Linked DNA regions of Schizosaccharomyces pombe. The protein of the gene in region 2 purifies or fractionates together with the protein of the main gene of each other region. This does not show direct contact. Each region holds a gene or a part of one and is shown on either strand. Other genes may lie near its edges.

The links.
Region 1: the proteins of taf51 (region 2) and taf7 purify together in Schizosaccharomyces pombe (affinity purification with western blotting, with the first as the bait; 2 studies listed by BioGRID). This does not show direct contact.
Region 3: the proteins of taf51 (region 2) and taf6 purify together in Schizosaccharomyces pombe (affinity purification with western blotting, with the first as the bait; one study listed by BioGRID). This does not show direct contact.
Region 4: the proteins of taf51 (region 2) and taf1 purify together in Schizosaccharomyces pombe (affinity purification with western blotting, with the first as the bait; 2 studies listed by BioGRID). This does not show direct contact.

Annotation. Positions count from the first base shown.
Region 1 is NC_003424.3:2,171,910-2,178,956, reverse strand, and holds taf7 (transcription factor TFIID complex subunit Taf7), read left to right. Parts: upstream 1-5,169; 5' UTR 5,170-5,204; coding exon 5,205-5,532; exon of another isoform or gene 5,533-5,573; coding exon 5,574-6,427; 3' UTR 6,428-6,547; downstream 6,548-7,047. Other genes in the region: vta1 (Vts1 family protein), read left to right, coding at 70-264, 602-1,375; glycerol dehydrogenase Gld1, read left to right, coding at 2,597-3,949; mismatch repair ATPase msh1, read left to right, coding at 6,862-7,047. UniProt on the Schizosaccharomyces pombe protein: TAFs are components of the transcription factor IID (TFIID) complex that are essential for mediating regulation of RNA polymerase transcription. Also involved in the transport of mRNA from the nucleus to the cytoplasm.
Region 2 is NC_003423.3:3,030,333-3,038,574, reverse strand, and holds taf51 (transcription initiation factor TFIID subunit taf73), read right to left. Parts: upstream 4,869-8,242; 5' UTR 4,695-4,868; coding exon 3,222-4,694; exon of another isoform or gene 3,166-3,221; coding exon 2,710-3,165; 3' UTR 2,636-2,709; downstream 1-2,635. Other genes in the region: pho2 (4-phosphoerythronate phosphatase/2-phosphoglycolate phophatase, involved in detoxification of glycolytic by-products), read right to left, coding at 1,465-2,213, 2,253-2,321, 2,369-2,447; SPOM_SPBC15D4.13C (ASCC1 family protein), read left to right, coding at 5,353-5,686, 5,753-5,814, 5,865-6,083; protein mug98, read left to right, coding at 6,446-6,479, 6,518-6,825; SPOM_SPBC15D4.11C (Mam33 family protein), read left to right, coding at 7,234-7,520, 7,662-7,815, 7,854-8,204.
Region 3 is NC_003421.2:696,465-704,689, forward strand, and holds taf6 (TATA-binding protein-associated factor TAF6), read right to left. Parts: upstream 5,234-8,225; 5' UTR 5,218-5,233; coding exon 5,086-5,217; intron 4,928-5,085; coding exon 3,701-4,927; 3' UTR 3,282-3,700; downstream 1-3,281. Other genes in the region: rml2 (mitochondrial 54S ribosomal protein uL2m), read left to right, coding at 1-619; RNA cap binding protein cbc3, read right to left, coding at 1,141-1,288, 1,411-1,663, 1,716-1,935; protein mug123, read left to right, coding at 2,574-3,281; retromer complex subunit Vps5, read left to right, coding at 6,143-7,873. UniProt on the Schizosaccharomyces pombe protein: Functions as a component of both the DNA-binding general transcription initiation factor complex TFIID and the transcription coactivator SAGA complex.
Region 4 is NC_003424.3:836,100-842,062, reverse strand, and holds taf1 (transcription factor TFIID complex, histone acetyltransferase subunit Taf111), read right to left. Parts: upstream 3,826-5,963; 5' UTR 3,744-3,825; coding exon 3,681-3,743; exon of another isoform or gene 3,639-3,680; coding exon 3,068-3,638; exon of another isoform or gene 3,053-3,067; intron 3,020-3,052; coding exon 2,871-3,019; intron 2,833-2,870; coding exon 676-2,832; 3' UTR 501-675; downstream 1-500. Other genes in the region: RNA methyltransferase Tgs1, read left to right, coding at 10-155, 204-491; vacuolar amino acid transmembrane transporter Atg22, read right to left, coding at 4,091-5,680.

The DNA.
Region 1 (7,047 bases), on a different chromosome or scaffold from region 2:
TTTTTTTTGGATTACGAGACCAACTATGTAAATGTTTCTGTGGTACTAACCGCTCTATGGCGTGTGTAGTTACGTAAAAATTTGGGCGAGAATGAGAATGTGAGTGACGAGACTAGTGCAAAGGCGTATGTTGAATCGTTTTCCCTAGAAGTTCTTGTCCAGGCCGAAAGAAATAGCAAAAACGGGAAACCAGATGTGCAAGCGTATTTGGCAGCCCGAGATTTTCTAGAGTTGTCGAGAATCTGGGGACCACCTACGGAACAGGTACGTGAGTCAAAAACAGCGAGAGCAAGTGAGACGGAATGAAAAAGAGTAACGAGCAGAACTTAGGAGAAAAAAAAAAGAAAACCACGATCAACAAAAATGAAAAAATGAAGGTTCTTTGGAAATTTTTTTATTTTTTATTTTTGTTTTGTCAAAAACAAAATCGTCTTTTCCAATTCACATTACCATGTGTTTTTTTTTTCGACTCGTTTCTTCTTTTGCCATTCTGAGGATTTCCTTCCTATCGGTATTTTTCTCTCTCGTTTGTATTATACAACGATGCTTTATGATGCTTATAACGATTTTTTGTTCCCTACTAACCCCTATTGCTACGTAGATTACCAAGTCAATCAAATTTTGCAAGTTACGTGCGCTCCAAGTCGCAAATCCCCAACGAAAGGCCAAAACACCCTCAAACCACGCGACCGAGGAGTTACAGCAATCTTCCACAAATTCCACAACCCTACCTACGCAAGAAGCCGCCGTTGAAACGAATGCCTCTGCTTCTCATGAAACATCTTTTGCTCTCCCCACTACATCTCCAGCAGCATCGCTCTCCATCTCTCCTACAAAGTCTGCAGCCGTATCTTCCGAGCCTAATGTAGAAGCAGACGTAAAATCGTTGTCTTCAACACCGGCTGCTCCACAACTAAATTCACCTTCCCATTCATATGAGCCTACCACGTTCCCCTCAACTACATCAATAACCGAAAATTTGCCAACAATAGATCCTACTCGTTCCACTCGCTCTTCCTCGCATATCCAAAGTTTATCTCCTGAGTCAAAGCAAACATCAGATGGGCATCGGCCTCCCTCCCCTACGTCAATCACCACCACCTCCACCTCCATCGATCCGTCAGTAGCATTTTCCAGCAAGTCAACTTTAGCCACAACAAGAACAAATGCCCCTCTATCAAGGCCATCTCAACCGACTAAAGCCTCCCCCTTGAACAAGTTTTCCGCCTTGGAGGCTATCCAATCTGCTCGAAGTCATGCACGCTATGCATACAGTGCATTAGACTACGAAGACACAACGACAGCCATTCATCATCTAAAGTCGGCACTAAAACTTTTGGAGGAAGAGGAGCAGGGAAATCATACTGCAGACTAGAGGAAGAATGCTGGGGCTGGAATGGAGGGGATCTCAATGAGACAATGGGAAAAGGTGGGGCAGATACCAGTAAAATTATCTATCCATCTTGGGGAGAAACAATCTAATTGTACCACTCTCCCCACTATTCGTCTCTCTTAATGTTTGTTTATTTGTTTGTTTTTTTTTTATCCACTTTTTTTTCTTCAAATGCTTTCTAATTGTAGCAGGACCCCGCCTTTCTCTCCACTCTTCCCATTTTCCCTCGCCGTTGAGTGGCACTGCTCATCCCTGTCTCCTCATTTTTTGTCGCGTCATTTTAGCGAGCGTTTATTAAGGAACTGGCGAATGACTGCTGTTGTATATATTTCCCCAGATTTTCAGCAAGTAAGCTTTTGTCTTGTACTGCATACCACGTTGTCTTTCTTGCCCCTATGACGCAGTTATGAGACCAACGAGTCATGGGTTTATCCTGCCTCATCTTTTGTTACGTTATTTTCCTGTCTGCTTGGGTTTGGCTTCCGCAGTGGGGAACTGGCAATTGCGGTGGATATGTGTGGTGTCATCGCCCTCTCATCAAGTTTATATGTAGAGGGGCAGCGCTGAATTCTTTGCTCTTGGTTATTGCTTTCGCAGTTTTCCATATTTCCCCCATCCATCCATCCATCCATCCACCTCTTCTCTTCTCTTCTTTTTTTAACAGAATTGCTTTTTCCATTGTAAAATAAAACCATAGCAAGTTTTCACTACCACTTGGGTTTTTTTTTCTTTTCTTTAATTATTTTTTTAATCAACTTTCGTTGCTTTAATTTTTAAATATTTTTTCTCTTTTCATTCTTCCTACTCTTCCCGTTTACCGTCGATCGGCTGATTCTAGTTTTGACAATCACCATTGACTACGTCGATCCCTTTTTTTTTGGCCAGCCGAGATCATATATCCCGTTCATTCTTGGAACTTTCGTGATCTTTCGACTGTCTATTGATTCCGCAAACAAGTATATATATACACATATAGTTGTTTTTTCTTTTTGGACCTCTGTTCCATTGCGTTTCTCTCCTTCTTAGTTACTTGTGCTTCTTTACCTATTTCCTTTTTCTTTTTAAATAAGGATTCTTCTGTATCGAAATAAATTTCAAGAAAGGTAAGAACCGTTCCACACGCCTATTCTTGTATTTCTCTTTTCTTCGATTTGATTCGATTTCTATTCGTAACGCTTAGCTAGTCTTTGAACTTCCTTCATAATGATTGGTCCTCGTCTTTGCGCTGCAACCCCTCGCTTCCCTCTCGTTTCCCTCGCCCACAGGAACTCTAAAGTATTTGCGCTCGCCTCTTCCAATGCCGTTGCACAACGTTGGGGCAAACGCTTTTATGCTCCTATTGAAACGGAGACGCCTCACAAAGTTGGTGTAGAGTTTGAAGAATCCAAAGATCGCATTTTCACCTCTCCTCAAAAGTATGTTCAGGGTCGTCATGCCTTCACTAGATCCTATATGTATGTCAAAAAATGGGCCACTAAATCAGCTGTCGTGCTTGCCGACCAGAACGTATGGAACATTTGTGCCAATAAAATTGTCGATTCTCTTTCTCAAAACGGAATGACTGTCACCAAACTGGTCTTTGGCGGCGAGGCAAGCTTGGTGGAACTGGATAAACTTCGCAAACAGTGCCCTGATGATACTCAAGTCATCATTGGAGTTGGTGGTGGTAAAACCATGGATTCCGCAAAGTATATTGCTCATTCCATGAATCTTCCATCCATCATTTGTCCTACTACTGCCTCCTCTGATGCCGCTACTTCCTCTCTTTCCGTCATTTACACTCCTGACGGTCAATTCCAAAAATACAGCTTTTACCCCCTTAATCCCAACCTCATTTTCATCGATACCGATGTGATTGTTCGCGCTCCCGTCCGCTTCCTTATTAGTGGCATTGGTGATGCTTTGTCCACCTGGGTGGAAACTGAATCCGTTATTCGCTCAAATTCCACTTCCTTTGCCGGAGGTGTGGCCTCCATTGCTGGCCGTTACATTGCCCGTGCTTGCAAAGACACTCTTGAAAAGTATGCCCTGAGCGCTATTCTTTCCAACACTCGCGGTGTTTGTACCGAGGCATTTGAGAACGTGGTCGAGGCCAACACATTGATGTCTGGTCTAGGCTTTGAAAACGGTGGTCTTGCTGCTGCTCATGCCATCCATAACGGTATGACCGCCATCCACGGTCCCGTTCATCGTTTAATGCATGGTGAAAAGGTTGCTTACGGTACCTTAGTTCAAGTTGTTTTGGAGGATTGGCCGTTGGAAGACTTCAATAATCTTGCTTCTTTTATGGCAAAATGTCATCTTCCCATTACCCTTGAGGAACTTGGTATTCCCAACGTAACCGATGAAGAGTTATTGATGGTAGGTAGAGCTACTTTGCGACCTGATGAGAGTATTCACAACATGTCAAAGAAGTTCAATCCATCTCAAATTGCTGACGCTATTAAAGCCGTTGACTCCTATTCACAAAAATGGCAAGAACAAACTGGATGGACCGAGCGTTTTAGATTACCCCCTTCTCGTCATAGTCCTCACTTGACCGACATTCATCCATAGGCATTATTTTTATCCCCAGCTTCAATTTTCCCTAGTAAATCCAAAAGAAGAAAAGAAATTTTTAAGCGGGTTTTCTTCATTGATCATTAATGTCCTGAGTGTTTTTTTTTCTATAGTAGTCTTTTATTTCGTGTGCTTCCTTTCCTCTTGGAACTTTTTTTACCTTTTTTCTTTCTTCCTTTTTTTTATTTTTTTAAAAAAGTTGTAAGCTTTTCCCGTTAATCTAGTGATTTAATGATCAACCTTTTCGGCCTACTCCAAAGTTTTTTACGCCCCTTATAACTTCATGAATAATTTGCTTTATTTTTGTTACGAATGAAAAAAATTGTTCCCCTTTTCAAATGAATGTTTTATCGTTGTTAGTTGTATTGTATTAAAGTTGTTCACCGTAATTGATCTATTTGTTACAATGCACATCATCTGTGTTGCTTCCTTTTTTTTTTTTTTTTTTTGCAATCGCTTTTTATTGTGATAGATTTCAAAAGTTTTAAATGTAATTACAATTAATAATGTTCCTATGTTAGAAAACTTTAAATAACTAAAGTGATTTGTTTTCACGTATTATACAATTGTCGCTAGTGGCCTTGTCAAACATTCGTTGTTATTATATTATATGCTAACTCAATATGATTAGTATGCTACAAATGGTATAATAAGTGAGTAAATCCCGGATTCCTAGCTACATTGAAAACCCTTTTTACCTTAACCTTTGCATCGATCAACAATTTCGCGCTTTATTTACATTGTTTACTGTGGGATAAATAAGTAGTGTTGTCAACAATACATTACTCAAGGATACACTACGTTGAGTATCACTATATGACACATGTCCTAATCATTCATCGTTGTATGAAACAGTATTGAGATTGACCTTAATAATAATCTATTAATATTTTTATTATCTGAATACTATAAATAGGGCTACTGCCGAACCTTGTTCCTCAGTTCAGTAGTTTAGCTATGTCGGTGATCGATACTAATGGACTTCTTATAGTAACAAATATACATTGTTAGTTAAACATACCACATACCGCTATACTGTAGGTCGCAAGAGAAACTCACCGCAGTTCTATGAATCGTTAAATAGATACCAAACTGCGTAGCTGACAGGTGTTTGCAGATAACGATTGTATTAAAAAAATGTTGTAAATCACTATGGCTCGTTAGTAGTAGATAACGAGACTCACTTGAAGGTTTAGCGACTTGCTAATCGAGCGTTTGCCAACGACAATTACTCAAAAGGCGGTTTTCGAAAATGGTTAAGCTAAAAATTCGTGCTGTTCAGCCTCCTCCAAATGATTCACGATCTAGCACTCCAGCCACTGGTCCTCCTCCCCCAATTCCTAAAATTAAGATCAAGACACGTGAACCTAAAGGCCCTCGATTGACAAAAATTCGGTTAAAAAGAGTTCGCGAACCTGGCTTAGGATATGATTCAGAAGCTTCTGACAGAGAAGAAGACACTTATATTGAAGAACAAATTATATTACGTCTTCCTCCTGGTGAAGATTGTGAGTATGTTCGAAAAGCAATTGAAAATAGGGAAGTGGGACGAGGTGCAGACATATGGGTGAAGTTCAAAGGTAATGACTTGGTTACACTATATTATTATTAACAGAGTTAGATCAAAGAAGAGCGGTTGTTCATGTTAATGGTCATTTGTACGCTGCGAAGTTAGTTGATTTGCCATGCATCATAGAATCTAATAAATCATTCGACAAAAAAGTTATCTTCAAGGCTGCTGACATCTGTCAAATGTTGATAGCTACAGAAAGAATCGAGCACGAAAATTCTGTTCTCAATACTCAGTTAAAGCAAGCTGATTACATTTATCCACATGGATTGACGACGCCAATGCATTGGGTGCGGCAGAAGCGATTTCGAAAACGTGTTTCGAACAGAACAATCGAAGCAGTTGAAAATGAGGTTGACCGATTGCTTGCAATGGATGAACGCGCTGAAAGTACATCGAATGAGTTGATTGATCAAGCACAATTGGCTCGTGACTCAAGCATCGCTCTTTCAGAGGATACATCGTTTGATGGAATGGCAGGACTTCGTGGTACCAGCATCGATCGGGACGACCAAAGCGTGCAAACTGATATGTTTGATGGTATGGATGAGGACGATTTGGCTGGACAGATTGAACAGGGTATGCTTGAGCTTAGTCAAGATACTCGGGAGTCAACAGCAGAACCTCGTGCCGCAGGTGAAGAATCTGCTAGTGAAGAAGAAGAAGAGGAGGAAGAAGAAGAAGAAGAGGAAAATGAAGCTGACGATGAGACTCGCGAAAATAAACGACAAAATAGACTTGTTCGTGAGTTTATTTCAGAGTTGGAGTCTTCTATTCAAAAACGTAGAAAGGATGCCGATGAAGCAACTAATCCCATTCTACGAAATCGTTTCCTTGCAGACGTTAATCGTATGGTGACCGAGTTAGAGTTAAAACGTACTCAACTTGTCGATAACCCTGAATAAATGTGTTGCGTAGTTACATCTTTTTACATTTTTTTTTAAAGAAAAAAGCATTTATTTCTATACGTTTTACCTTTTGCATATCAGCTACAATAATAATGAACATCGGTTATGGTTTGGATATATATACATATATTTATATTTTATATAGTAGATTGTAAATTGCATATTAAGTATTTTAGACACTGATAGCCAGAATTAGTTTTGTTAATGAAGTGTACCGAACTTTATTACAACAATCATTTTTCTGCATAAGCAATTCTATTTAAACGTATACATATATTTATTAATATACATTTATATGCTCATAAATAAATTTATATACTTGAAGATTACTATTTCTTCAACTTGACAATGATGCATTCATTGTCGCTTATAGTAACATAAACTTTTGCTAACTCTACAAAAAAACCCTTCCATTCGGTAACCTGAAAATTATGCCGACATGGAGGTATATTTTTTCATTAAGAAGTAAATCTTCTTTCACTAAAACCTGGGTACCGTTTACTCAAATTCGAAATTCTAGTAAATCCCCCAAAGTCGGCCAAAAGCCAATTTTACAAGGCGCGTTAGGACCTCCGTTAGATTTTATTAGACCGAAGGAAAAAGTAACTCTACCTCCT
Region 2 (8,242 bases):
GTTAATAGTAATTCACCTATTTGCGGAAATTTTGTATTTATAACCGCTGTCATAGCAGCATAGATTGGGGTGAAAGGTAACGAGGCAGCCTGAGCTTTCATAATGCTGCGGCAATATAAAGCACGACCTCTAATTATATTTTCTTGAAAGAGCTCTGGAATTATATCTCTAATATTGCTTTTATTAACCTTATTAATTAATCCGTTGATGGACTTTTTAAGGGCTTCCCATTGCATCCTTTGATACTCGGGAGTATTTACATCAGTTAATTGTGCTTGTAAAGCCTTAAGTTTTGCCGGAGGGATATAAGTCCCTCCTGATCTGGTTTCCATGAGCTTTTTAATCTGAGCTTTGGGATCCAACTCATTGTGGGATTTTTTCTCATCAGCAAGAGAAGTTGGCGTTTTGATTTTATTTGACTTATGGAGGTCTGGTATGTAATGCCTATCTTCCCAGCTCAAGTTATTATTTTCCTGTTCAGTTTTCTGTTTTCGAATAACTGCCACTCTGCTATGGCCAGAAGACTCTGGGTTTTCCCTATTGTAATCCAACATTCCAATACCAAATGATTTATCTTCTTTCTCCATCCTAATTCATTAGGATTAGATTAATAAATATAAGAAGAACGAAACACGTGAACGTGTTTCCCTTAAAGACACAGTAAGTAGTTTTTAGAGTCAACTCTTTTTCTTACGAATATCACAAACATCGCAACAACTCGTTAAAACACGTTAAAATAACTTTATCTAGTACGTAGTTTGCAGTTCGGATTACAGGTATTTCCAATGTTTTATATATATGATGAGTTGTATTTTAGCGCAAAAGATAACTAGACATCAAAACCTTTATTAAAGAGCATTTTTAAATTTGCAGAGAAAAAAAAGCTGTAATGAATTTATCTCTTTTTTCTTAATCGATGGGAACCGTTCGTTGTTGAACAAGAATCATTTATGCTTTGCTGTCAAGTGATTATATGCCGCATTTAAGTCAAAGACGAATGGTTTTAGTCAATAGAATTTGTTTGAAAAACTATAAATGCTTGTATTTTTTCAATCTTTTATATTGTTATTATTATGGATATGTAAATAACATTAAAGTAAACCTGGATTACCTAAATTAAAGAACTTGTAAGCAGGTGCAGATGAAGATGCCCAATGCCAATGTTTTTGGTGAGAGTATACAGGCTTAATCGTATTTTTAAGTACGTTTCTGCTTGTCAACTAAAAGGTTTTTACTGATTCCATAGTTGGTGGACACACGATAGTTACGAAGAGCAAATGCAAGCCAACGGTATTCGATTTTAGATACTTGATTCCGGTCATTGGTACTTTGCTAATTCTACTTTCCAACTTAATTTCGTATTCTACATGTTTTCGTGCGGTAATTCGCAACGCAATCATTCATTTGAATGAGGTATTTATAGAGATTAACTTAAGAAAATCTAAGGTATAATTAAAGAATGAACTATGCAGTCTCAGCAAGTTTTGCAAGGGATTCAACGTAGTAATCAGGAACAACAGGTGCATCCTTCTCAAGAATCTCTTCTTCCTTACTGACACCAGTCAATACTAACAAAGAACCCCCAAGGTTGGAATTCTTGGCAAATTGAATATCTGTGTTGAGTCGATCTCCCACAAAGCAAGCCTTCTTTCTATCAAAATTCACATTAGCTATGATGGCTTCCATCATCTCATCATAAGGCTTTCCAAGGATTTTAGGTTGACGTCCAGTTGAAAAGATTAACGGATATGAAATTGCTCCAGAACCGGGTAAAAACTTTCCGTTTGTAGGAAAAGTGGAATCTTGGTTCGTCAAAAGGAATGCGCAGTTAGGGTCTTGAAGGTATTGGAAAGCCATGCAATATTTCAAATAGGTGACATGCATATCCATACCACATAACACAGCACCTACAGAAGGATCAGGACCAATCTTCTCAACATCTTCAGAAGCTAATGCACGTCTCAACGACGGGTCCGTTCCACCAATATGAGCAACCCCTACTCTATCAAGCTCATCTTCGATACCTGCTTCTCCAAGTACAAAAACTTTCTTATCGGCAGGAAGCTTTAGCACTTTCTTTACATAAGTAGCTGATGAATAAGCACTAGGGTAGATTTCCTCAAGTTTGGCTGCAATACCGTGTTCATTGATTTTATTCATATATGTTTCTCTTGATTTCGTAGAATTGTTTGAGACAAAAATAATTTGTTTTCCTGTAAAAGAGTTAACTCAAAAGAATAAAAGGGACTTACCTAAAGAACGAAGGAGCTTCATGGTATCCGTAACTCCTGGTATAGGCTTACTGCCGCTCCAAAGTACACCTGCGTGTTAGCCTACAAATAGATTTCATATTTTTGCTAGCGCTTACCATCACAGTCGAACAAAAAAACATCGAATTTATCAATGAATTCTTTATATTCCTTGGGTGATGAAAGTTTTTTAGCCATTCTTAAAGTTGGTTAAAGTGGTAAGGTGGTAGGCGTTCGACATATCCGTTATATTTATAATCTTCGGTTAGATGTTCCTTTCTGATAGTGATGATCGACTTCATATTAAGCTTAAAACTTACATCTTCTTTACTTTACGAAACCTTATTGCGTATAATTGTATTTTAAAAAAATATGAATAAATTTACAAATATCAAAGTTATCGTTAAAATAATATATCTCTTTTTTTCACAAAATTTGCGGGCCATAATGTACATGATATTTAGGAAGAGCTTAATGCTAGACAATAGTTTCTTCGAGTAAAACTTAAGTTTTGTATAATAGTATTTTTGGTTTTAAAATTGAATAAAAGCGGGGACTGTTCGCCGTCCGATAAGTTATTCCGGTATGTCAAATCCCAAAAGTTAACATCAGTATCTGCACCTCCGGAAACCAGAATTTTGTTATCATATGAAAAAGAAAGAGAATAAACGATACTAGAGTGTTTAACGAATGAAACGTGCTGATTACTACTTCTGAGATCCCACACTTTTATTATGCCCGATTCATCAGCAGATGCCAACGATAAGCCATCAGCAGACATACACAATGCAGAAACAGGAGAATGATGGGCATTAAACACGCGAACTGTTCCACCAGTGCGAACGTCCCACATTCTAGTTGTATGATCACTAGATCCTGTAGCAAGATAAGCTGCATTCGGATGAAATGAAACACACTAAATCAAGGTTAGTTACTGCTCATAAGAATTGTTAGTTAAATAAAGTTCCTTACATCCACATCATTTTGATGTCCAACAAATACTCTCAAAGGTGCTGCATGCTCAACATCCCATAGACGTGCTGTTTGGTCGTGCGAGGCTGTTGCAAAATAATAGCCGAAAGGGGAAAACTGAACGTCCCAAATCGGCGCATTATGACCAGCATATTTGACAATAGTGGACTTAGTATCCTTGGACCACAAACGAGTAAAGCCATCCTCAGAGCATGACAGTATAAACTCTTTTTGAGGAGAGATGCTCACTCCAAAAACTGGTCTCGTATGTCCAATTAAAGAGGACTTTTGTAAAGGCTCATTTTGACTTCCCACTAATGGTTGCGGACCATTGTTAGTAGAACTGTACAAATGAATTGAAGAGTCTGCGCAACCCAGAGCGAACATAGAGGCGTCATCAGAGAATGCAGCACAATTTACAGCGGAAAGTGTATTGTGCATGGTATACATGAAAACACTAGGATCCGTAGCATTTTTTCCGAGTATTAAAGAATTCTGTTCGCTTTCCAGTAAAGAAACAAAATAGTCTATGTCCTTCATTTTGGTTGGAGGTAATGGGGGATCAGATGGTGATTCTAGAGTTGATTCGTTGATTAGATTTTCTTTTTCAGTCAGCAATTCGACAAGGTTCTTTGCAGGATGCAATATTTTATTCAGAGCTTCATTTCTTCCCTCCACGTCTTTATCTTTTACTTCTAACAAGTTTTTTAAAGTTGTGACAACTTCTTCTGACAAGGGACGTAATCCAAGTTGTATGCTTTGCTTGTTGTAATCAAGAAGCTGTTCGGAATGGCCAGGAATTCCTTCTTGCTCACTAATTATTGTCTGTTCATTTTTAGCTTCGTCCATTTCATAGACCGCTTGCACATTAGGGTCCTCCTTGCCCTCGACTTGAGGCATAGTAATTTTTATATCAATGTACTGATTCAATAAGCGAATTATTATTCCACTTCCATTGACTTCGTTTTCGAACAAAAACTGTACTAGTAAATCAAATGTAGACCTCGTGAAATTAATCCGGTATTTATTTTTGCGATAAAGCTGAGCTATTTCTATCTCCTCAACGTCTGATGCAATCTTCAACTGAGCTAATGCTCGAATGTCATAGCCATGCAACACTTCATGCTCTATACGAAATGATTCAAAGAAGTATATTGCCATTTCGGGATCATTTTTTTGCAGTAAGTCTAAGTAAGAGTGTACAAAAATTGGATAAAGGACTTTTTGTAGTTTTGGCTTATACAAATCTAATGTACCATCAATCCAATCTCTTAATAAAATATAAACTTGTACATAAGTTTCAGAAGCACCGATGTGCCAGTCTTGCTGTTCTTCAGGAATTGCGCCAACACTGGATATTTCCAACCGAAGCATAGCTTCAGTCCTGGAATAACCCTTTTTAAACAGATAGTCCAAAACAATCTTGTTTAAATCTGAAGTTGAATTACCAGAAGAGTAGGAAGATTGAGCCATTTTTAGTAGTTAGTCATGCGTTTACTTCTTTTATACGTGTGTCGACTGCCACCTAGGTATTCGAAGTGTTAAAAAATATCTTTCGGCTTATCACGTTTTCAGAAGAATGTATAATATATTTTTCTTCTATAGTTTAACAACTTTTAATAATTTTGTGGTGGTGTTGAATAGTCCATCTGGCATCCTTAGTTGGACTGTGTATCTAAACTCAAACGAAGCGTTGACTCACCATATCTAATAATTGCAGCTATCTTTCTTATTTTTTTAAGAATTGGAATTGTTGATATATATGTATGATCAAATGAACTGCTTCGCATTTTATCATCTAAAGATTAGACTAATAAGTCTACCGATTTTAGGATTTGACAACTTAATATTTCTTAATGACGCTATATGAAATTCGTTAATTCAGCAATAGTAAATCAATGGATAGGATGAAGAACAATTTTCGTTTCAATATAAACGACGTTGTTAAACATTATTATTAGTACAGCCTGATTATTGTTATGTAGTCAATTTTAATTACATTATAAATTTGTAAGTGATTTCCTCTTACCTCATATTTCATTAGCGATCAGTGAATTTTGTTTGAGCCGCAGAACAACTTTCCGTAAATAAATTACTTTGAATACTTTGCCATAGTAATCTGTTAATTATTATGCGATATCCAAATTTGTTATTCTTGGCCTTACCGATATCTGAGCACTATATCGAGGAATCTTTAAAGTATTTTAAACTAACATCTAATGATCCCATGATATTATCTGGATTTCGTGGCCCTCGTGTCTCACATCTTACTATTGGTATGATCCCGGTTAAAAACGACGAAGACGTTCTCAAGTGCATGGATTTTTTATACAACAAAGAGGATGAAATCCGAAAATCCTATGGCGAGAAAAAGATTACAATCGATTTAAAGGGAACTTCTTTCTTTGGGAAATCTCCTCAGGAAGCCAAGGTGCTGTATGCTACTCCAGTGGACAAGCATAATGGTAATGACTTACAAGCCTTTTGTGGTACGGAGTTTTTATTTTTTTTATTAATAAGCTAATTCATAGAATGGTTAAAAGTTATTTTCACTGAACACAATCTTTTTACTAAAGACGCTAGACCTCTTACTGTACGCATTATGCGATGTTAACCAAATTATAATTTTGCTAACAAAACTAGCTACACTGCACCTTGTTAAATTCCAGGTATATAAAATACCAGGGGCGACGTATCAGGTTTTTTAATTCGGAACCTTTTATGGAAAAATACGGTCAATTTCTTTGGGCTCATAATATTGAACTTGATAAACTAAGTATTATGAAAACAGGCGCTGTTGGAGAACCGGGTAATATGTATTATGAAGAGTTAGCCTCAATTCCTTTACTCGTTAATGATTGATTATAAAGGTAGTAGTTGTTGTTTACAAAAACGCTTTTGGAATCGATTGTTTACCACATGATAGTCACATGTGTAAACAAATATGAAATTGGTCATAGAAGTAATATCGGTGCAATTTATAACTCATTTTGTTTTGACGAAGCACAAATATATAATATAGCTCCTTTTACCATCATTTCTCGAAATTGATTGAAATTTTGGAAACTATTCAAATTATTTTGAGATCCTTTATTATAATTGATTTCACATATACATGCTGATAATTTGACAATGGAAGACAAAATTGAAGGTAATAAACGAACCATTCACATCTTTTAACACATCTCATAGTTTGCTTGCAAAAGGCTATTGCTGTCGACACAATGAGCATTCCGGTAATGCAGTTAAAGCATGAGCGTAAGTAGACTAATTTATGTTAAATTATTAATTATTAGTTGCGCTTAAAGCCCGAGAAGAATACCTCCGAAAAGAACTTCCTTTGAAAGTTCGAGCAAATACTTCTCGCATGAACCCCGGAGCTAAAACTTGGATTCCACAAATTAATCACCGAAAAAGTAGAAATCATTATAATCGTAAAGAAACATGCCAGTTTCCCCCTCTATACAATGTTGAAGCTAAAATAAACCATTCATATTCTGCGTTTTATCGTCCGTTTACCAAACGTGAGAATGGTTTGTGGTATGCGAATCCGTATTATATGCAGCATGGTCCAAACGGAAATTACCATCACGTTTATTATTAGTCATGTTTTCAAAATTTTGTGCCAATTTTTTCAATTTCATTCAAAAACCGCATCTTCATCATTATGGTTATAATCGACGCCGTTAAAAAACCAGGAAAAAGAATTTCATAGTCTTAATTTCTTTATTTTTTTCTTTAATCAGATGTCTACAATAATGATTTTTCCATTAATTATTTTCTTCATCCATTGCTATGGTATACAAGCACTTTAGTGAAAACCGCTGTATTACTTTAAAGTCACTGCTTTGCGTACTTCTCATAAGGAAGCAAATTCAGTTAAAGTGCTTATTGTCATATGCCCCATTGCATTAAATATTTATAATCTGTACAATTCATCAATCCATTGAAGAAGCAAATCTTTGTTGGACGGCTTGTAACAATTCTATTCTTCAGCTTATTGCACTTCAAAATGCTCAGAAAAGCGATCTCTACAGCACGAAACTTTAAATATCCTTTATTTAATTGCGAAAGGAGGTTTTCTTACTTTGATATGTTTCGTAGTAAACGAAAATTTACAAGTGGTATCCTAACGGAGCAACTAGCGTTGAAATTAGATTCTGAACTGGGTTACGTGAAACAGGTTCTTGATGAGACATTACCTAAAAAAGGATACGAAAAGGCTCTTCATTCTTTTATAATCCATGAAGATCCTTCGCTTAACTACATTTCAGCTTTAAAAGAAACGGCAAAGGAAAGGTAAGCTATTTTTCCTCAATTGTTTGTTGAATTCAACGATGTGATTTCATGTCTATGCGTTGGCTAATATACAACGTTTAAGATTATGCTTTCAGCAGAGCCTTTAAATTTCTTTCGATATAATAGTACTAACGTAGCTAGAATACGCGTTACTGTTCCCGTATATAGCTCTCGTAAAAGTTACGTCCAAACAAAGCCGATAACGCATAGTGCTGAAAATGAAAATGGTAACGAAACATCTGATGAACTAGTGTTCTTTCAGCATTCAATTCCTGCTTATGTCCAACTCACTAACGTAAGATCTTAACATGTTATTATAACTTACAATTATAGAACCATGGCACAATTTTGTGTGCTTTAATACTTTGTAAGGGCATGCTTCATTTTGATAGCATTTCTTTTCAATCACCTCAAAACTCTCAAGCGTTCTCATCTGACTTGAGGTTAATTTTACAAAAATCACAGAAGTACACTGGCAGAAAAACAAAGCACGTTCCAGCTTCTATCAAGTCAAGTTTACTTGAATTCTTGGATGAACAAGGAATTACAGTAAAATTCATGAAGGCGCTAATATCTCGCAGTTGGCGAAAAGAAAATGTCTCCTATAAGCATTGGATTCATAATATTATTGGATTTATTTTACCTTCTGAATCATCAACAACTAAAAAATCAGACTCCCAATGATGGTATAATTGTTCTTTGAATTCCTTTACTTTATGATT
Region 3 (8,225 bases), on a different chromosome or scaffold from region 2:
TATTTTGGCTTGTGACGGGCTTCGCGAAGGCGATACAGTTGAGAGCTTTCGATCGCTTTTGAAGACTGGTTCTAATGGCGAGCCAGTAGAAATGGACCCCGTCCTAGCTGCTGAAATTGAAGATGGAACTTTTGCAGCAAAAAATTTGAAGCCAGGAAATTGTTTTCCTCTCAGATTAATTCCTATAGGAACTGTCATTCATGCCATTGGTGTAAATCCAAATCAAAAGGCAAAGCTATGTCGTTCTGCTGGCAGTAGCGCTCGTATCATAGCTTTTGATGGTAAATATGCTATCGTTCGTCTACAAAGTGGTGAAGAGAGAAAGATTTTGGATACATCATTTGCTACCATTGGTGTTGTAAGCAATATTTATTGGCAACATCGCCAGCTTGGTAAAGCCGGTCGTTCACGTTGGCTTGGCATTCGTCCTACGGTTCGAGGTACAGCTATGAATCCATGTGACCATCCACATGGTGGTGGTGGTGGTAAAAGCATTGGTAATAAACCTTCTCAATCTCCTTGGGGTGTTTTGGCTAAAGGTGGATACAAAACAAGAAGAGGTAAAAATGTTAATAAATTACTCGTCCGCGATCGTCCTCGTGGAAAGGAAAAGCGGTAATCATTTTATTAATGATCTCTGTCTTCATGACTTTTACATTTCTATGTTTTACATTACCGTAATGCATTTCAATTTTCATGATCCCTTCTCCATTTTAATAGTCGATGCTATTACCTATCCATTTGTGGACCAGATGCATTTATGTATAGTTATTTTGTGTCGACCGTCATTTATCGACGAAAAATTTTAAGCATTTTTTAAGAGTTTAGCTCTTACAATTTAAATCTGTATTGGTAATTTTTGTTCATCACAACGTTGCTTAAAGCTAAGGACTATCCCATTCAAAATTGTCGTTTGCTTACATCTACCTTAAAAGGGTTATCGATATCATTCAGGTACCAAAAGAGTATTCTATTAAACGCAGAAAAGAACGGTTTTATTTTAATATGGCCAACTAAATAAAAAAATTTTATTTATAAAATTGTAGCTAATTTAGCATATTAATTTTTTCTTGCCTTCGTCCAGCGAAAAGCGACTTAAAAGCGGATAAACTGGGTATTTAATATTTCTCTACAACACAATTAACGCTTGGAAACCCTGGAACGACGGTCTCTCCTTGATTTGCGTGGCTTGCGTCGAACTTGGAATATTCTTTCCATCAGTGTAAGGTCAGACACTTTAGGACCTAGTCGTTCATCTAATGGCGAACCCCTTTCATCTTGATTTCTACTGTGCGAAAGTGTTAGTAATTTGAATATAAAATTGAGTAAAAGGAGATTCTCAAAAGTAGAGGAAATGATTTTTGAAAAGTATGAGTGCACCCGGACTAATTTGGTTTTCACAAGTTATACCTTTTAGATTTGCTCTTCTGAGCCTTTTCTTCTCGAGGATCACCGTGAAACAGATAATATCTCGAGTAAAGATGTGCGCTTTTAACCTTCTTGTCTCCGTAGCGGGCGTAACGTATTTTGAATTGACACGTCGGTACAGTTGGGTGTGGTTTCGTTTGATATTCCAATTCCTCTGAAAATTCTGTCGGAGACTCCATAATTAAATGAAATAAAGCATTTCGTGAAACATCATCATCCGCATAAACAACGTTGCCTATACGCGGTTATAGAGTTAGACTAACCCTTTGCCAGTTTTCGCTTCTTACATTCGTTATCATTAATCCATTCAATTGTACATTGAGATTCAGGAGCATAAGCTGAAATAAATCCTTTGACTTGTTCTTCTGAAAGATTATCGACGCCAGCTAGATGTAAAGCTGTTTTACGCAATGTAGTATCAGCCACCACTTCCGTTTCTAATGGAGTACTAGTGGCGTCGGGTATCAATGATTCTTCTTCAATCTGAGTCTCTGCAACGATATCCATTTAAATCTACTTCTCTACAACTGCTTCGCAGACATGCAGTTTCCAAAAGAGTGAATGTGCCGTCCAAAGAAAATTACGACGCGCTATAATTTGCTATACGAGAATAACGAGAGATGAAAGATCCCTATAGGCAATGTAATCGGTACAGTCTCCTATAATGAGTGAAGATCGGAAGTCAAATGTAATTTGTATTTAAAATTAAGAAGGAAAATGGAGATTAAATCGGCTTTTTGCATGTAAGGCTCGTTTGTGTAAGAATCTACAGTACGCTAAAGCACATTGAATTGCGTATTGTTATTTACAGAAATTTATGGGATATTACAGTAAAACCTAATAAGATTTACCTCTGGGACACCGTATGTTCGAGAATGAGACATGTAAACATAGCTTCCGCACATTTGCAATTTTCAGTACGAAACATTAATTCTTGCGCTTTTCAAAGATATATGAGCTTTGTTTAATTAGTTTTAGCTGATTGCTTAATCAAATAAAAGATTGTCTATCTTAACACCATTCGTTTTCTAATCCCGGCATTTGTCTGTGAAATTTTTAAAAATTAATTGGAATTACTCTACAAGCAACTTATTCAAAGAAGGAATAAATAGATAATAATCATTACTAGACAGAAGACTAATCGCATGGAACGTTTAGCTACTCGATCGAGCCATGATGATCCATATTCGAGGTCTTCCCTTCCAACTTCGAATGCCATTAATAGCAACCATGAGTCAAATGGTTCTACTTTTTCTTACGTACAGAGTTTACGCCGTGCAAAGGCGACTGTCTGGAGTGATATAGGCCGTGTGGCTCCTTTACACTCTAGCCCATCAATCAAAAGTTCATCACAAAATGGGAAGTCTTCCAGCAAAGGCTTAGGAGGCATGCGCTCAAGGGTATTTTCTAGCCAGCATCATGGTGTTTATCACACCCGTCCTGCTTCGCTTCATTCACGTACAATGGCTCCTCAGCACACCATTCTTACTCCACGATTATCTGCTACCGAAGGTAAGGATGACGATGAGGACGAATTGGTAATTTCGACATCGAATACTGCACCAACATATATCTCAATGATTGAGTCTTCACGTGCCAGCTCAACCCATAGTGGGACTGCACCTTCCATTATGGGAATGTCAATACATTCAAGAGCAGACTCCAGAGCCGAAACTACTCAATCAGACGGCTTTGAATCTCGTAGCGGATCACCTACTCATGATATTCAATCTTATCTTGTCAATCGACGAAGCAGCAGTTCTGAATCTTCAGACGAGGACAGTGCTGAAGAAGGAATGAAACGTCTAGTAATCACAAATATGGGGGACAATGATGAATTCGATAGCGATTAGTGCAGTTATTTTTCCATCGATATCTGATAAAGTATTATTATTTATTATGGTGCTATTCCCTCACCTAGTTTAATTGCTTTAATTCGTTTACTTTTATTCGCATTCTTTGGCATAATCAAGCATTCCTTCCCCTTTCTGTTCTATTACGTATTTCTTTCATTTAAAACCCGGCATTGTCAGCTAGTCTCACATCTTTAATCAAAACATGAAATAAACTATATCAATATTATCATCATTCTATTTTTATTCATTTGAAAGCTATTCGGTGCTTCCTGTTTTAATGTAACATGAATATCAATAACATTTTAATTATAGAACCTATAATGGTTTAGGTAGTGTGGAAAATTGGGTAAATATTTTAAAGTCCGAGATTCATAGATTAAATTGTTCAAAAACAAATATTTTATGCCCAACGAAGACTATTCTAGCAGACCAAGAAGCAATGAGGTATCGTTTTCCTTCATTATCTTTTCAGCCATTAAACTGCCAACGTTCTTCTCAAGAAGACCACTAGCATTTGGCGGAAGAGTTCGTTGATTTGGTAATTGATCATCCCGCAGTAATAGCAAAGCGTCGTACAAAGCATCCATACATTTATTGGCCTCGTAAATCTCCTCTTCATTTCCTTTTTCCAAGGTTTTCCGAACTAGGACTTCGTAAACTTTGATATTGGGAACGACGAGGACTCTAATAGCTTCTTTCCCCATAGTTTTTAAGCCTTTGATGGCACCATAATGAGTGGAATATGGCTTGGTGTTATCCAAAAATGCTTTGAGTGCCGTGCGAGTAACGCGAGGCTTTAATGTATAATACACATTACCAAATCGATCACAAACAATCCCGAGTAAAAAAGCAGCTAAGTCTCTTAGTGCATAATGCTCGTGATTATTAGGATCACTGCCAAGGCGCTTCGCGACCAAACAAGTAAGGATGGATGGCATGAGTTGTTGGACGTAAGGCTCTACAAAAAGGTTGGGGTTATCAAGAAGGGCCCAGGCCATGTGCATTAAAGTAGTAAGAACCACAAGATTTCCTAAGTTTCGAGTTACAGAATCCGATAAAAACATTATGAAGTATGGTAAAAGTTGGTGTAATCCGGGGTCGTCACGTAAACTCGATAGGGCAGCATCACGGAGCTCAACATTAGTTTCATCAAGCAATGCACTGGTAATACGCTCAAAATAAAGCTGTAACTCTTTGGATAGCACATGTCGCACCAACGGTTTTATCTCAACGTTGTCCATCGAAGTGACACCGTTTCGAGCTTCTTTAGCAGCAGTTGAAGCACCTGGCATAACCCCTGAAGTACCCTTGGATGCCCATTCTCCAACTGTGTGATCTGAGGGAGTTGGATTTTGAGGAATGGCTGGCTGCACACCTTCGATGGCCAGCCAGTGTGCACTGTAAGAAATGTTTCTAGGGACTTTAGGGAGAGGAGCGTTTATGATTTTTTCAAAATCCACTTCCTCATCATCAAGGTAGTAAAGGGAATTTTGGCCTGCACCTACAGCGGCTTCATGAAATTCTAATGGACGAGAATTATTGAAGCCGTATAACGGCTCAACATTCAACGTCCGTAACGCTGAAGAGATATCTGCGCTAGTTAAAACAGTTCTTTTAGAATGAACCATAAACTTAGTGGCTTCCTAAATCAAATACTGTTAGAGAATTATGTTTAATGTCAGAATAAAGCAGACTATCTAGCAAATTGAAAGGCATCGTAAAAAACTAGCAACAATTTTTTAGTTATTTTAGCCTCTTCCAAAGAAAGTAAAATCTCATAGTCTACTTTCACGAAACCTACCTGAACCACCTGATGAATTCTATATTCGAGATCCATTGCAATAGCTGCTGCTGGTTCATCGGCAAGATTGCCAATCCCAAGCATTTCAGCAACATCTTTGATGGATTCAATATTCCATACTGTCAAGGACATGACTTGGTAGTAAGATGAACGATTTATGGATCAATGAGTGAATTGCATCTGCAGAGAAGTAGTTAACGATGTTAGAAGCAACTGCTTTATTTAACATACTTGTCAGCAATACTACACTACGCTATAATACACTACGTTGCGTATCACTATATGTCACATGTTCTAATTATATATCGTACCATGTATGATACGATATGGAGATTGATCTTAATGATAATCTATTAAGATCTATATTATCTGAATACTATAAATAGAGCTACTGCTGAACCTCGTTCCTCAGTTCAGTTATGAGCTATATTAGTGATAGGTAACATTATAACCCAGTTAATACAATACCTATACTCAGTTGCTACTTATACAACCTGTGTATTGTAATATAATAGATCACAAGGAAAACTCACCGCAGTTCTACGTATCCTTAAATCAGATACCAAACTGCGTAGCTTACAAGACAGTGAGCTACACTAAAATCGCTATTAAACATTACGTTACGCATCAAAATACACTACATGGAATACCAATTAATCTCAATTTGTTGAACAATAGCAGAAGACTATATGTTTGTTTACTAAAACATCCATTGATATTGATATAAAATAGTAGTTAAAATTAGAAGTCTAGATTGAACAGAGCATCATTCTCAGTCCAGTTATTAGCTGTTACAATGATAAATATATTATCACCCACCACTCACAATACTGTATAACGCAATATACTGCTTCTACAAGCTAAATATAATTTAATGTAGCCTTAAAAGGAATTAGAAACTTGAATTGTTGACACTTATCTAGTTGCACCGCAAGTCACCCCGCATTGCTAAACGTATTTAACCATCGTTATTTTTCGCTAGTCGTCGTTGGGCTGCGCATCACCATTTCAGGCACGATTTCAGTGATCAGATCCAAAAACCCAACCGGCCACCATCATGCTTGGGCATAATATATATGAAGAAGACGATGCATTTAATCCATTCGCAGATTCCGTTTCTCCACTGAACCCTCCAAAAACCGACCAAGAGCCCTCAGCTGAAGGAGTGGAAGAAGAGTCGCCGAATGTTCAAGCTTCTCCACCAAAAACTCATATCTATACATCTCCTAGGAAACGAAGCGTCAATTTGAAATCTCTTCCGTTTGAAACGTTAACTTTGGATTCTGCACCTTTAGGTCCCTTGCAATTTTCTGATGCACCTTCTATGGCACCCGAAAACAACCGTTTGGAAGTTGGTTTAAATACAAAAATTAATCCGTTAAAAGGATCTAGTCCCGCTTTGAATGCAGATTTTTCTGCAAATAAGCCTTGGATCTCAGAAGTGAACTCCTTTTCCCCTTCTCCTATCGGAGCAACGGAAAATCCCACTATACCAAATTCAGAACAGACGGTAGATACTTTAGACGCTGCCTCATCTTCTGCTCCAAATTTTACACACACTGTCTCATCTGCCTCCTCCCAGAAGCAAGGTTCAACCTCATTAACAGATACGGAGAATCAGAAGGCGCACCCGGCAGCGGCACCTCAATCTCTTACCCCGTTTTACATCCAAGTTCATGACCCTCATACCGTTAAGGAAATCACTAAATCGCATACCGTATATTCGGTTTCCACTCGTTTAGAGGAACACAATCAACCTTCTGTTAGCAATGTGACTGTACAAAGACGATATAATGATTTTGCTTTTCTTTATCAATTGCTTTCTAATAATCATCCGGGTTGTATCATTCCTCCCATCCCGGAAAAGCAGGTTGTAGGCCGTTTTGATGATGAATTTATTGAACAGCGACGAGCAGCCTTGGAGGTAATGCTTCGCAAAATATCTGCCCATCCGGTTCTACGTGATGATTACTCATTTAAGTTGTTTCTTGAAGCAGAGACATTTGACCCTAGAATGACACATCGTACTACTCTCATTGAGAGTTCATCAAGTCCTTTGCGCTCAGGTCCCTCAACATCTGGTTTACTTGACTCATTCACCTCCGCCTTCCATACCTCTGGATCTTCTAAATTTTCCGAACAGGATCCAATTTTAATTGAAGCAAAGGATACACTTGATTCGTTGGAAACTCAACTAAAGTCGGTTTATCACGCGCTTCTTTTATCCATAGATCAACGCATACAGTTCGCTTCAGCCATCCATGATTTTGGCGAGGCTGTTGGAAATTTATCTTTAGTTGATTTAGAGCCCACCTTATCATCCAAGTTTGATGGTCTTTCCCAACTCCAGGTAGAGCTTCGATTTGTACAAGAACGTAAGGTTGCTCAAGACAATTTGACACTGGGCACTACATTGGAGGAGTACATTCGGTACGTGGAGAGTGCCAAAAATGCCTTTACTACACGTCAAAAGTTGTGGCAGACATGGCAATCTTCAGTTCAAGCTGTTTCTCGTGCTAAAACTCAACTTGAGAAATGTAAAAAGCAAGCGAAATCTCAGCAAAAATCACTCCCTTACTTGGAAGAACAATACGAAAAATATCGAGCAAAAGCTGCTGATCTGGAAAAAGAGTTTTCGGAATCAACAACTCTGTTAAAACGAGATTTGAGTTCTCTCACAACCAGTAGAGTTGATGATCTCAAAGCTAGTGTTGAAACGTGGTTGGAATCTGCAATTGAATCTCAAAAAGAAATTATTGAGCGTTGGGAATCATTTTTGGATCAATAACGACTCTAATTTTCCCTATGCACTCTTTTAATTTTTATGTTTTTCTTTCGTGTAATATTTCTATCCCATATTCGTATTAATGTATTTCCAACTACCGCTTTATTACTTTGCACTTCTCTAGCTGACGATTTCTATTCTATTCTAATTATTTTTTTGCAATTTCCCTTTTCGTCCATGGTACTTCATTACTTGAAAAGAAAATGTACCTTAAAATATTGCATTCTATCTACTAACCTTACAGCAACCCTACACTCCTTTGTAAATAAATAACTTGTGTATGTTTTTAAAAATTGTCTTTGTTACTCAAGCCTTTTTATATTTGTTTATGTTTAAACGCTTTTTCCTGCTTAAA
Region 4 (5,963 bases), on a different chromosome or scaffold from region 2:
TTGTTTCAGTAATCTCAATTGAGATCGATCCTATCAAAATCGCTATGGCAAAGCATAATTTGGAAATTTATGGCATTCCTTCATCTCGAGTCACTTTCATTCAAGGAGACGTTCTTGACACTTTTAAATCTTTGCAGTTTGCTAAAGATTACAGGGTATAGATAATCTTATATATTAATTCTGTGTTTAACAATATTTTCTAGTCTCTTGTTTTTATGAGTCCTCCTTGGGGTGGACCTAGTTACTCAGGAAAAACAGTATATTCATTAAATGACCTAAACCCATATGCTTTTGATGTTCTATTTAAAGAAGCAACTAGGATATCCCCTTATGTTGCTGCATTTTTGCCAAGAAACACTGATGTAAAGGAACTTGCAGCATATGGGAGTATTCATAACAAGCCTTATATTACCAATTTTTTATTTGAAGGATATGCCAAGGCAATTTGCTGCTATTTTAATATGAAGGGTGCTATTGCGCGAAAAATTTGAAAGTTTCAACTCATTTTCACGTGAAGTTCGTCAACTATATATTTGATTTCATAAACATAAATTGATTATTAACATTTTCTACAATGAATATCGTTATAATTAGATTCATCACCAATAAACAAAAAAGGAGCGATCGACGCCCATCATGAGATGTCAAATATTCTTTATAACACTCAGTATTATTTTAGTTTTTGTCGAGCATAGTAGCCAAACCTCCTTCAGGTCTACCAAATAAGGGACATATTTTGTTGGTCTTCATGTGGCCCACTTGACCACAGTTACTACATTTGCGAGTAGTGGGTTTTCGTCCTTCTCCGTTCAAGTTGATTCCTTCTTTGGCAGCATGTCGAGCTCTTCGTCGCTCCCAATTCTTCTGACTCTTGGCAAGTTCTTGTTCAAGACGCCTTCGGTTGCGTCTATCAATTGCTTCGTCTCCAGTTGGTACGACGGCATCAAGAGCAGTTGATTGTTCGTCAATCTCACGCCTCTTCTTCAGATAGGCATGGATGACTATCGGGTCATGAATGGTTTCCTGTTTACGTTCCAAATTTCCATTTTTGTCACGATAAAGTCGAACAATTCGTAAAACTTTATCAGAAGATGGAGTTTCTTCTCTCGTAGTCTCCTCATTAGATTCAACGTAATCATCATGTATAGAATTGATGCCATATTTTTTAGCCAATTCTTCCAGATTATTTATACTTAAACCTCTTTTCTGAGCATTCCAAATCCTATTTATTTCTTCTTCATAAGCCCTTTGTTGCTTTGCAACATTATAGGCGTGAGCATTCTTAGTTTGCGGTTCTGGCTTATCGTCGGCGGTTTCGCCAGCGGGTTTGAAACCACCCTTCATGCTCGTACGAATAAAACTATAACCTTCGCCAATTCCTGTAGGGTCACCCTCACCAAACAGTGTAAGCATGGCCTTCCCTTGGGTAGCATTTATAAAGTTTCTCGTAGTAATCCAAGGCGCTAACAGTTGCTCTGCTGGTTGTTCTTCATCTTCATCATCATTGATCTCATCCATTGTTTTCCCATACCCAGCATCTTCAAGCTGCCGCACACCCACTTGCATACTCTCTAGTAAGCACACTGTTTCAGGTGAAACCATTGACCGTGTACCTGCTTCATCGGGGACAACTTCATTCGATTTTAATTTCCAGTAACCTGGACCATCACCTTTCTTTTTGTATTCCATAAATTCTTTAAGACGCTGTCTAATTTGCATCTCATTCTGATCGGAGAAGTGCTTTGATAATTGTCGAATGAACAATCCTCCATTTGGTGAACGCCTAATAAGCCGGAAAACAAGCATTTTTAATCGATTTTTACTTGCTGTGGTCACTTTACGGGAATGGGGCCCAGGCACGTCAGTAACAGGAAAAGTTTGACCACTCACGAACATATGATTAATGTTTTTTAAGTAATATTTTGAGCCATAGCTACTAGAATTCCGTATTAGAATGAAGTCAGTAGGTGGTACCTCATGCTTAAATAACGGAGCTCTAATCATTTTATTATACAAAGTGGGAGTAATTTCTCCAGGTTCAACAGATCCAAAATTCCAAAAAGGGCTCCGATCCTGAACATCTAAAACGTGGCTTTCACCAACTTCGAGCTTGGGACGTGATTCATCCTGTTCATTTTTCTTTCGATAATAATTAACGATCCTGCTGGCCATACCTGCATTGGACAGCACTGCAGGATGTTCTTCTGAGAACTCAACGAGTATTGCATGTGTGGTATCACCCATTGTTATCTCCTTAGTAGTAGGAATTAATTCTCGTTCAGACTTATGTTTATCTTTACTTCTTTTCCTTACTATTAAAGGTGAAAAGACAATAGCTGCATTAGGTTTGAACGACATGGTTGGTCGATGGTAACTTCGAACAGCACGCTTACTAAGTCTTGTTTTATAGTAAGGAAATGTGAGCTTTTCGGCAAAGGCAGCATGCTCAATTGCTAACTGGGACAAGGTATTACGAACTTTTGACTGATGATTTTGTTTTAACATCTCATAGGCAGGATCGTTGGATATATTAAACTTCCAAGCCAGGGAATTCCTTTGATGGGTGTCTGCAAAAGATCTTTGGGAATCCTCTTTCTTCGGCAATTGAGGTTGTAACAAAAGTTTGGGGTCATTTAAATTTAATACTACTTTCGAGGTACCAGTGTCTCCGTCAAAAATGTTTTCATCAAATGCAAAATCAATATCAACTAGTGATTTGTCAATAAAAAATGATGATTGATTAGTTTTGTTAACATCACTCTCATCGTAAATAATATTTTTTTCCCAATCATTAGTAGTAAAAACGGTGTTGAGATCCAAGCCGTCATTCCTCTTTCGGTTAGTGAAAGCTATTCTAAATCAAACCATACCTGTGATGTATTAGCTGTTCTTCTTCGCTTTTTTGTATGCGTAGATATTGGAGACACAACATTTCGCTTTAATGGTAAAGACTTCTTGCTATTGAATATTATTGCGTAATCTGTATCGACTTCTAACGTTAAACGACCAGGTACGCAAACTTAACATGTCAGATCAGTAAAAAAATACAACAATAATCAATTCATACCTTTTGGGGTCTTTTTCTTTGGAGGAGCAAGCTTAACAGGTTTCGGCTTAAAAAGTTCTGAAAAGTTCAACAAAACACCACGTTCAAAGGTCGGAAAAAAAGTTTTGACAATGCTCTCCCTAATTTGAGCTTCGTTTTGTAATTCTTCTGTAGTAGAAGAAACAGTTTTCGAAGGTTCGGAAGGTGGAACTAATCCCGATGGAATTGAAAAGCCTACTCCGCTGAGGACCTGACCAGCAGCCTCTTCACCCATTTCTTTAGCTAAAAGCTTTCCAAAATCTTCATCATCCTTATCCCCGGTGTAATTTACAGCTTGTTCTTCCTCTGGTAGATTATCATCACTTACATCTTCCATATCATCCATTTCATTTATGTTATTACCAAATTCCTTATGAATTGAACCCATAAAGTCAAAATCTTCATAATTTGGTCCATCCTGAGGGTTGGAATTTTCAAAACTAGAATCTAAAATTTTTGGGGACTCATTCATCCCTGGATTGTTTGTATCTCCTAAAAGAGAATTTATTACAGACATGTCTGTACCATTTTGCTTAAATAAATCTGTCAGGTCCTACATTCGTTAGTTTAAGATTATAGATTTCAAAATACCTACATTTCCATCATTGTATCCAGATTTCGTATTTTCATTTTCAACTATAAGACCATCAAAAGACATAATATATTTCAAAATTTATGTATGGCCTCACTAAGCCGTTATATATGATATTAATCGACTTGTGGCGAAATGGGTGTTGGCTAAGGGATACTTTTCGTCTGCCGATGAATATAGACTCAGGTAACATTAGCTTACTGATGAATCTTGGGTGACAGAATTAAATTCATATAATAATATATATCTATTAACTATTAAATCCTCGATAATTTCGTTTATTAATTGGAAAGACTCATGAAAATAATTAGGCTTGGCGCTCACTGTACATTAATCAATAGTTTAATGTCTCGAAAAAATAAAGAACCGCAGACTTGTTTAATTAAATCAATAAATAAATGCTAGTGGGTGAGTTAAGAGGAGGACCTATGCAAGTTGGGGGTTTTGCTGTGTTGATACATTATCCATAAAGAAGACAAAGGTAAAGTCATAACAACAATTACAAAAATGTAGACGGCACGTAAATCAGATGTGTAGTTCGAAATAAGTGTTAAAGAAATATGGCTAAATAACACACCGGTTTGTGATATCAAAGCGTAGAGGGCAAAGAATCTAGTTTCTTTTCCAGATGGCACTAGTTGAGCGTATACGGACCTACAATAACTATGCGCACCTCCTAAGAAAAAGCCAAAGAATAAAGTAGCCCGGAAAACGTCAGCTGATGTTCGTATTCCAGCATTTTCAAATCCAGGAATGTAACCCAAAAGGCCATATAAAGGAGCCATCGGCAAGAGGATGGAAATAATCATTACTACTTGTAACGAGTTCAGTTGAAAATACTCAGTAAGATAGGGTATAATTACGGTGCCTAACAATGCGAAAGAAGATATTCCCATTCCTAGCAAAGTCAGCTGAAAGTTAGAGAGATTCAACCTTGCTTTTCCAAAAATAACGGCAGAAGAAAGAGAAGTTTGAATTCCACAATTAATGAAGAGTCGTGAAAATAGGAATAGCCTAATCGAAGAAATACTCATTGCATGCTTGAATGAATGATACGACTCTTTCACACTATTATAAAGTAGTGTCAGGATAGCATCACTTGAGTGATTTTCCACAGGTAGTGTAACAATGGTACAAAGGGGGGTTGAAAGTATAAGCCACCAACATGAACACACTGTAACAGTTATTGGCAAGATTATTGGATTGTTATTAGTTTTGTACAAAATGGGAGTAAAAATAATCTGAAAGAGAATAGCAGCGCCGAAGAAGCTACCGAAGCCAACGCTTGATAATCGAGCAGCGATTTTAGCCTTGTGTTCATCTTCCACATCTGCAGGAGGAGCGGATTCATTAAGTATTAGGCTGTGTTCAAGCAAATAGGGCTCTTCTTCACTAGAATCAATGGTGGTATTTGTTATGTAGCTATCTAGGTCATCTGTTTCATCCTGAAGAGCGGATTCCAATGTTATAGGTCCTCTCGTGATAGGGTAGAATCTCAAAAAAATAGGGAGAAAGCTGTCATAGCAGGATTGAGATATAATAAAGTTCAAGTCGACCAGAATCAAAAACACTATTTTTCCCAAAAGAAAACTCGAGGGACTCCACGAAAGTATAATACCACTAATAGAACCTATGATAACGCATGAAAACAAGATGTATCTTCTGTTATTTCCATAATCGCAAATAACACCCAAGCTAACCATCATAGCCATCTGTAAAAAAGTTGAAATAGCTGATGCAGCGAATACAATAGAACTAACATCAATCCATAGCGGACCAACTATATTCAAAGAGCAAGGTTCTTCTGGATATAAAGAACAAGGAATTGTGTGATCTGTTCTTAAAAAACCATGATCATGGGCATTTTTCATAACAATTAAAGGAACATACACCCCCATACTTATAATTGCAGTAGGACCTGCCCCAACTGCATAAAGAATCCAGCTCAGAACATGCCAAACTGTAGTGGAAAACTTCTTGTGAAGTTGTATTGGAGAATTCATATTGATAGCTCAATCGTCAAAAACTATGGAAATACAAATTACTGAAGATAATATGAAAACATAAATTTTGAAAGGGAATGAGAAAAGAAAAGTAAACTGTTGTAGTTATCTTAAAATTGTGGTTGGTGTAGCGGATTTATTAGCTACGCAATAGGGACATAACTGCTCGGGGGGAGACCAAACAATGCATGGACAAAACAAACAAAATAGATACAATCATGGCTGCTTCTAAAAAATTTTTAAGCGATCAACTAAATAATTATTGTATCATTTAATAATAGCT